Mus musculus: one gene and its partner. The protein of the gene in region 2 purifies or fractionates together with the protein of the main gene of each other region. This does not show direct contact. Links are inferred from orthologs where the notes say so. Each region holds a gene or a part of one and is shown on either strand. Other genes may lie near its edges. The genes, in order: Prpf19 and Ctnnbl1.

Evidence for each region.
Region 1: the proteins of Ctnnbl1 (region 2) and Prpf19 purify together in Homo sapiens (affinity purification with mass spectrometry; 4 studies listed by BioGRID and IntAct, counting the BioPlex papers as one, with this or other methods). This does not show direct contact. The link is inferred for Mus musculus from reciprocal best matches to the Homo sapiens genes CTNNBL1 and PRPF19.

The regions. Positions count from the first base shown.
Region 1 is NC_000085.6:10,893,927-10,898,288, reverse strand, and holds the start of Prpf19 (pre-mRNA-processing factor 19), read right to left. Parts: upstream 3,059-4,362; 5' UTR 2,840-3,058; coding exon 2,821-2,839; intron 787-2,820; coding exon 637-786; intron 473-636; coding exon 396-472; intron 1-395. UniProt on the Homo sapiens protein: Ubiquitin-protein ligase which is a core component of several complexes mainly involved pre-mRNA splicing and DNA repair. Required for pre-mRNA splicing as component of the spliceosome.
Region 2 is NC_000068.7:157,735,967-157,740,326, reverse strand, and holds the start of Ctnnbl1 (beta-catenin-like protein 1), read right to left. Parts: upstream 2,927-4,360; 5' UTR 2,798-2,926; coding exon 2,768-2,797; intron 1-2,767. UniProt on the Homo sapiens protein: Component of the PRP19-CDC5L complex that forms an integral part of the spliceosome and is required for activating pre-mRNA splicing.

The DNA of each region.
Region 1 (4,362 bases), on a different chromosome or scaffold from region 2:
GCAACGTCCTATCTCAAGGCAATAAGAGGGCCTGCAGAGAGTTGAGAGAGTCCAGGAATTAAGAGCACTTGCTGTTCTTCCAGAGGTCCCAGGTTTGATTCCCCAGGCCCACATGGTGGTTCACAACTGTTTATAACTACAGTTCCAAGGGATCATACACCCTCTCCCACCTCCAAGCACCAGGCACATAAGTAATGCACGGTCATACGTGTAAGCCAAAGACCCAGACACGGTCATACGTGTAAGCCAAAGACCCAGACACGGTCATACATGTAAGCCAAAGACCCAGACACAGAAGAGAGAGGGGAGGGGAGGGGAGAGGAGGGAGGAGGGAGGCCCCATCTTTTCAATCCCCAGGTCCTAGCCCAGAGGTGCATTCTTTTCACAGAACTCACCCACTCATCCTGCAAGGCTTTCAGAATGGCTGGGATGCTGGTGGCGGAGGGAGGCTTGGGTCGGATTGGGTGAGCAACTGCCAAGAGAGGCAGCAAAGTAGGTATGAAGAACTAGAACCCAGGGAACTCTCCCCCACCACCCCCACCCCCAGCCACCATCTTCTCCACCAGATTGGCTCCACCCCCCACCGGTGAAGGCTGAGCTGAGCTGGCCTTGGACTTGAGGCTACTGGGCAGGCACCTTTGATGTCGATGAGCTGCTCCTCTGAGAGAGGCTGGTTGTTGATAGGATCTGTGCCATTCTCTGCAATGTACTTCTCAATGAGTCGCCGCTCATACACATGATTAGAGACAGGGGACACGCACGGGTGCTCTGGCACTTCATTGGAGACTATAGAGAAAGACAGGTAGTGAGAGTGAGCACAGGAGAAAAGGAGACGTGGGCAGAGGAGATTCTTCATTGTGTCAGCCCCAACAAGACCATGTCCTCCTAGTCAGCTATCAGGAAGCAAGGTCTGTGACAGCAAGCCTGCCCGTACTTGGTCCTACAATGCTCGCCAACTACTTAGCTAAATTCTCTGGTCTGCTGATAATAAAAGTCAATAAATAATAACTGCCCAGATCCTATGTGCCAGTACTGTACAGAGTGGTCAGTAAGTCCTGCCCATCTCATTTTTGAACCGAGATGGACAGAGAAGCACACAGAGCACAACTCAAACCTGTCATCCAGTGGGAGCCCTAGACAGATCAACAGGAGAAATTCCGAAGCAACGTGACAAGTACTGATAAAATGAAAACAAGCAAACAAAGAGCTCTGCTACTACATGCCAAGCAAGATTCTATTCTAAGCGCTTGACAGAATAGTCTGTGTACCCTTGAAGATGGCCGTTACAGCTGTCACTGACCTCCAGGACAATGCAGATACTAAGCTGACACTTGATAAACATCATAACAGGGTAAATGAGTGCAAAAGTCCCGGGGCCCAGAAAAGAATATTCCAAAGTACGAAGCCTTGAGCATGCTTAACTACCAAAATAAAAAATAAAGAAATGAAGGCCCCAAAAGCAGGCTTAAAACCAAGGTCTCTCTGACCTTCTCAGACTTGTTTCTCTACCTTCCCCTAAACAGGGTCAACTGGTTCACTTTAGCAGACAAGTGGAAGCTACCTCCACATCAGACTCTTCTGAAAGCTGCTCTAAGATAGCGACTTGTCACATCACAAAACAGCTCTTATTCACCACACAATTCTATTCAGCCTCCCATAGGTTGTGAGTCACCATCCTAAGGTTCAAGCTCCTATTCTTCTCCGTGGCTTCTCTTAGAATCACCTATTTTTGCAGGACTCCCATGCATGTGTTATTAAGTATGGATTTGTGCCATATTTAAAACCCGTATCTTGTACACGGCCTTCCTGTCCTATTCTGTTGGTTTATCACACTACTCGACGACTAAAGCTTTCTGGGAGCTTTCCCTCTTCTACCAGAGGAAGGATAGCCCTGGGCACGTAAGAGTGTGGTCTCAAAGATGGAAAGAAAACAAATCGTTTGTAAATACTTTGCAAACTGCAATTTCTCTAGTATGAGATTTCCTTTTCTGCTTGTCATTTCCCTCCTCCTTTTCCTTCTTTGAACTAATGGCAACGTTCTGAGAGGGAAATAGAGAAGGCGAGGAATCTAGTAACGTGGTAAACAATATGGGAGAACACCCGCAATGCCGTAATACAACACCCCAAGACAGGACAGCATAGTGCACGGGAAAACCATGGATCCAGGCTCAAAGAGCCAAGCTCCACTGCTTAGCTTCCTCGCACACCCCTAGGTAAACCCATTCTTCAAGACTTCCGACACCCTCTGTAACTCACGGATCTTTATTTCCCTTCAGACAATTCTTGTAAGCATAAAATGAGATCACCGTTTGGAAATGCATCGTAAATCAATACAGGTTTTCTAAACATTCGCTGTTTTCATTAGTCATACTGCGCGAGGCTAGAAGCCAGACACCTGGCTTCCAGCCCTGTCTCGAAGTCACTGCGTGATCTCTGCAAATCGGAAAGTCCGATTCCTAAGCGAGGTTTCCCAAGCAATGCCCACTGCAATGCTTTCAATTTTGCAGATGGGGAAACTGAGGCCCAAACCCGCTAGAGCCCAGATCACAATTGGAGGCGGATCCTGGGCATGTCCTCGGGTTTTTTGACACCAAGAGCTGTTTTTCACTGCACCAGCTCCTCCCCCCCACTTCTGCTCAGGCCTGTCTCAGCTCTGTAAAACGACGCCGGTTTCAAAAGACCCCTGAGACAGTCATTCTTCCCAGCTACGTGAATTGCGCAGCCCTGCGCAAATGCACCCTGCACGCAGGGCCGGGAGCTCCAGGGCCCGAGCCACAGGGGCCACACACGCTCCCGCCTCCCGCCGCAGCCAGCACTCACTCGAGCAGATCAGGGACATGGCGCCGTCGTAGCGCTGCTGCCAGTCGCCTCACAGAGGGTTCCCGGTTCTCTGCAGCCTCCGCGGGCCACTTCCGGTCCCCCGCCGCTTCCGGAGCGCTCGGACGCGGGTAGACAGCTGCCCAGCGTGGCGATGCTCGCACAACTGCTTCACGTGGGGAGGTGGCCGGTGGCGCGCCTCAGCCTTCTGCAGCTAACGGAAACTGCCCTTTCCCAGCATGCAACCGAGCAGGAAAAGGCCCGCCTCGAAACACTCGGCTGTTTCCGCATTGGCTCGGCTTCTTCCGGCGAGCGCTCCAAGAGGCCTGAGGCGGGAAGGAGAGAAGAAACTACATTTCCCATGAGGCTGCGGGGACCGCCAAGGCTCTTTTTTTTTTTTTTTTTTTTAGATGGAGCTGCTGTCACCTAGGGAACACTAGTCTTTGAAATGGTCGTGTGCAAGACAGATTTTTCAGGAGCTTGTAAAAGTGCAGATTCCTAGAGTCTGCCTTAGAGAGTCTGTAGGCATGATTCGGAGACCTGTGTTCCTTGGCCGGCTTTTGAGAAACAATGTGACCCTGTAAATAAAGCACAAATGAGTAAAGAAACTAACACTGCCTAAATTCTTGCTCTGGAAATATGGGCAAGCCAATGACTTCGTTGCCTGCTACGTTTTAAATATAGTCTGTTTTGTAAACTCAAGGGAATTTAGTTCCCAGCGTCTTATGTGTACGTTTAAAAGAATGGAAATTTGATGGGTGTGTTTGCAGAAGTCTTTAAACACAGGCACTGGGCTTCAGAGGCAGGCAGATCTCGGAGTACAAGTCCAACCTGGTTATATAGTGAGCTCCAATCCAGGGCAGTCAGAGCTGTGTAGAGAGAACATGTCTCAATAAGCAACCAAACAGTAAGAGTGGAAAGTTAGCACGACTATGGTGTTTTTCTGTGGTTTTGTTTTTGTTTTTTTGAGACTGGGTTTGTGTGTGTGTGTGTGTGTGTGTGTGTGTGTGTGTGTGTGTAGCCCTGGCTGTCCTGGAACTCAGTCTGCAGATAAGGCTGGCCTCAAACTCAAAGATCTTCCTGTCTCTGCCTTTTGAGTGCTGAAATCAAAGGTGTGTGTCATTACTATCTAGCTTAACTGTGGAATGTAGAGGTGGGATCTTTAGAATAAGACATTACAAGAATCCTGGTGGAGTTCATATAGGGAAAGAAAGAGTGAACAGGCACAAATGAACCAGTTGACTTCCATGGCAATGTGACACCAGCAAGGAAGAGGCCCTAGACATTGCCCACGTCATTCTCTTTGAACCTTGTGCTTCTAGAAATTTGAGCAAGGAGAACCCTCTTTTCTTTAAAGTAGCCTACCTCAGGTGTTTTGTTATAATAACAGTTCCCTGCCTCCTGCCAACTTCTTTTGTTTTCTCTACTAAAGACCGGACCAGATCGGCTACCAAGCCTGATACCCGAGTTCAGTCCCCAAGACACCCCCCCCACACACACACACACACAAGCACACACAGTAAAATAAATAAATAGGCTAGGCCT
Region 2 (4,360 bases):
ACTCCTTCCCTGATCACTCAGTCTACAGAGACCCTAAAAGGAGCTATTTACAATGGCGCTGGCCTACAGAAATGCAGTGGAAGTCACAAACTTTACATAGAAGATTAAACTTGGAAGTAGGCACAAAATTTAAGTTTAATAATCTATTATCCTTAATCCAGTATATCAAATGTAATCCATATTTAAAAATTAAGACATTTCATCTTTCCACAATAAGGCTGTGAGATGCAGGGTGCACTTTACACATAAGAAAGAACTTGATGCAGATGGGCCCCCCTTTTGACGTGCACTAGCCATGTGCACAACAGCCACCACGTATGCTCACATGTCCGCGGCGGACCCTGCTGCACTCCCTCACAACACGTCCAGCCATCTGAAGTTCTTGTTTACTTCCTTAGTTATTCTCTGGTGACTCCCCCACCATATTTGCCTTTTCACACAAAAGCAAGAGCCTTGTCTCATTTCTTTCCACATCATATGCTCAGTGGACCAAGTGCATTGCACACAGTAGATGGTCAATAAATATCTGTAACCAAAGAATGGGCCCCTTCTGGTAGTGTTGCTCCACATCTGAAACAATGGACTGGACTAGCCAGCCCAGAACTCCCAGACGAGCACTCATCGGTGACCTTCCCACCATCTTTCTTGTTTCATCACCAATTACATATCTTAAAGAGAAAACTATTATGGCCTCGCATCTGTTATCTGTTGCTTATGTATTCTTTCCCTTTTTTTCTTTTAATGTATTCTTTCTCATCAGGCCTGGAGTCTCCATCTACGGGGTCAGTGTTGTATATATTGGCTAAAGGAAATAACTACCAATATTAGTATTTATGGGCTGTTTTAACTGCAACAAACATTGGCCTAACACTGCTTTTTTTTTCTCTTTTCTTTTTTCTTTTCTTTTGGTTTGGTTTGGTTTCTGAACACGATTTCTCTGTGAGACCCTGGCTGTCCTGGAACTCACTCTGTAGACGAGGCTGGCCTCAAACTCAGAAATCCGCCTGCCTCTGCCTCCTCCCAAATGCTGGGACTAAAGGTGTGAATCACCAACCACCAGACATAGCTAGGCTTTTTGTTGTTCTTTCATTTTGGTTTGCTTTTATTTTTTGGTTTTTCAAGACAGAGTCTCTCTGTGTAGCCTTGGCTGTCCTCTGTAGACCAGGCTGGCCTCGGACTCAATGAGATACACCTGCCTCTGCCTCCCAAGTGCTGGGATTAAAGGCGCCAGCTTCTTAACAGACTCTTACCAGAAGAAGAACTTTCTTCACAACCGACCATAAGGTCGGTACCATGAGGTATCTGTTCAAGATTACAACAACTAGTTAGTAAGGCAAAAGGCATGGAAGGCAACCTGGGGCTCCAAATCCAGGCCTTTTATTTTATTTTATTGTAGTGGTGGTGGGGTGTCTCAGTATGTACCCCTGGCTGGCCTGGAACTCAGTGACCCACTGGCCGCTGCCTCCCTCCCAACTTTCAGGCACTGAGATTCAAGGCAGCCATGGCTAACAGCTCAGGTTCACAGGTTCTTACCGCCTACTCTGGCCTGCAGAGATATCACTTTTTTGTTGTTGTTGGTTTTGGGGGTTTTTTGAGTTTTTTTTTTTTTTTTTTTTTAGAGACAGGGTTTCTCTGTATAGCCCTAGCTGTCCTGGAACTCACTCTGTAGACCAGGCTGGCCTCAAACTCAGAAATCCATCTGCCTCTGCCTCCCAAGTGCTGGGATTAAAGGCACGAGCCACCACGCCCGGCCTAGAGCTATCACTTTTAAACTCAAGTTCACAGGTTCTCACTGCCTACTCTTGACTGCAAAGCTATCACTTTTAAAACATCACACCTTGAACAAAATGCAAGTGGATAAGGTTGGCTTACCCACTTTTTATTTCATCCATCACCCAAAGTCTGCTCCATCATATTATGGCCTCATACATATTCAATCAATATGATCAAGGATCTGTGATCAATATAAAAATACTACCTTTTTCATACTAAGTCTTTAAAATGAAGTGTGATTTACAATTACAGTACTTCCTAATTCAGAATAATTACAGTTTATGGGTCCCAACGCCTATTGCAGCTAATGAAAACAAAGATGGACACAAGAAGCCTCGTTAGGCAGTCAAAAGAGGGACAAAACTCTGAGTTGGGAGTCTGGACACTTGAGCTTTGTAACTGTTGAGTGACCTCAAGAGAGTCCTTTCTTCTCTCTGGGTCACCCGTTCCTCACAAGCACCCTGAGCAAGGAGGTCGAGAGGTCTCTTACCGACCCATTCCAAGCTCCGTCTTCCAAACAGCTTAACAATAGCAGGGAACGTGGGCACAGGTTTCTGCACTTTCAAATGACCTTTCACATACATCCATCCACTTTATAGATTTTAAAAGAAGAATTGAGACTCCGTGACGGGAGAAAGACTTCTCCAAAGCTACACTGACACTTGGTAAAGAAACTGAGGCTCAACACCGGGGGGGGGGGGGGGGCGGGGGTCTTCACAACTGTCTCCCCAAGCCCTGTGAATTGGTAGAAACGAGACGGAAGAGGAGCTGAGGGCTACCGGGTGGGGAACAGAAATCACAAGGCTCAGGTCTGGAGAAGGAAGGGGTCGAAAGGGTCCAGAGGGCTTAGGGGAGTGAAGTGCAATGACAGGATGCAAGCCCGGGTGACATGAGAAGTGAGGGCCAGGGACCGAGGGGAGGCAAGATGACGGGACTCTGTCCCTGCTACCCGAGCGAGGATGAGGAGCCCTCCGGCCTCGCCAACTGCTCTTACCTGGTAGCTTAAAAGTTCGCCCACGTCCATGGTTCCGGACCCAATCAGCACAGGGTACCCTGGTTGCCTCCACTCAACTCCCGAACCACGGGCCGCTCAGAGGCTTTTCCTGACACACTGCCGTAAAGCGCCAGGCCCCAGAACCAATAGAGTAAAAGAGCGCGTGGCCGGTGAGCCCGCCACACTGCCGTAAAAGGACGCGCTGCCGTAAAGCGCGCCGCGTTTTGACAATTCTGCTTCCGCCTGTAACCTGAAGGGGCGGGGAAAGGGGCGGATACTTAGGGGATGAACCTAAAAGCGAGGCCGTTATCCAAGAGTAGAGCAGAGTGCTTGGCATTTCGTGGGTAACCTTAAAGAGCTTCCAGAGACTGGCACTTTTGTTCTTTCATTCTCATTTCACAGATAATTGAAGTTGGCCTGTTGGTGGTGTTGAATGCCTTTAATCCCAGCACTGGGGAAGCAGAGGCAGGCAGAGCTCCGCAGGCATATGTTTTGAGTTCGAGGACAGCCTCGTCTACAGAAACGAGTTCCAGGACAGCTAGGGCTACAGGGAGAGAAGAGGGAGGGAAAGAGGGAGAGGAAGGAGCTGAGGTTTGAAATTATGCGCCCCATAGTTAGTCACATGTGGCTCTGGGGCACTTGAAGTGTGCCTAGTCCTAATAAAGATGTTAAGTGTTAATCAAATGCACAGTGGATTTTTCGTACTTGAACTGGTTCCTTTTTTTTTTTTCACTTACTGGGTAAAGGAAGATATATTATGAAATGAATTTGACTTTCCTCTCATTTGTTAAGCGTACTTAGTAGATATACTGAAATTGTATATGTGGATTTCATTTTGGGGTTCCCATTATGCTTCCCCTGGGCTTACAAAATGGCTTCCGGCCATAGGTGGCTGAGAAACCATTGATATCATGTTTGTTTTTTTCCCCCAGGCTTCTTTGTATTCACTAACACAAGACCCAGTGGCAACTGGAAGATCTCCTGTCTACCCAAGCTGTATTAAAGGGTCTGGGGGTCTGGAGACATGGCTCAGCGCTTAGAACCATTTACTGCTCTCTAGACGTCTACTTCCGTTCCCAGCACCCATGCTGGACAGCTCACAATTGCCTGTAACTCCAGTTCTGGGGGATCTGGTGCTCTCTTCTGGTCTCTGTGCAGACCCACAAGCACACGCATACACACATTTATATATATATAAAGGTTGGTTCCTGGGGAAGGAATTTGCCCATTATTGAGAGATAGTCAAGGCGTTCCTCTTCTGGGATTACAACAGACACCATCCAGAAACCCCATTCAACTACCTCCAACTACACATAAGAAAATTGTTATTCCTCAAACTGCCACAACCTCTCCTCATTATTCTCTCTGTTAGCACTTCCTCTACTGTTCACAGACTCAATCTGTCATTTTGTACTTGATGGTTGACATTTTATGTTTTGACAGCCTCATTAATTGGACTCCAAACTCTCTAAAAGTTGGGATTGAGTTTGTCAACCTCACCCTCGAATCTTCAAAGCCCAGAACAACGCATGACAGAGAAGGTTTCACCGTGGGCTTTGTGAGTGTTGTTAAGGAGAGTGGATTTTATGTTAT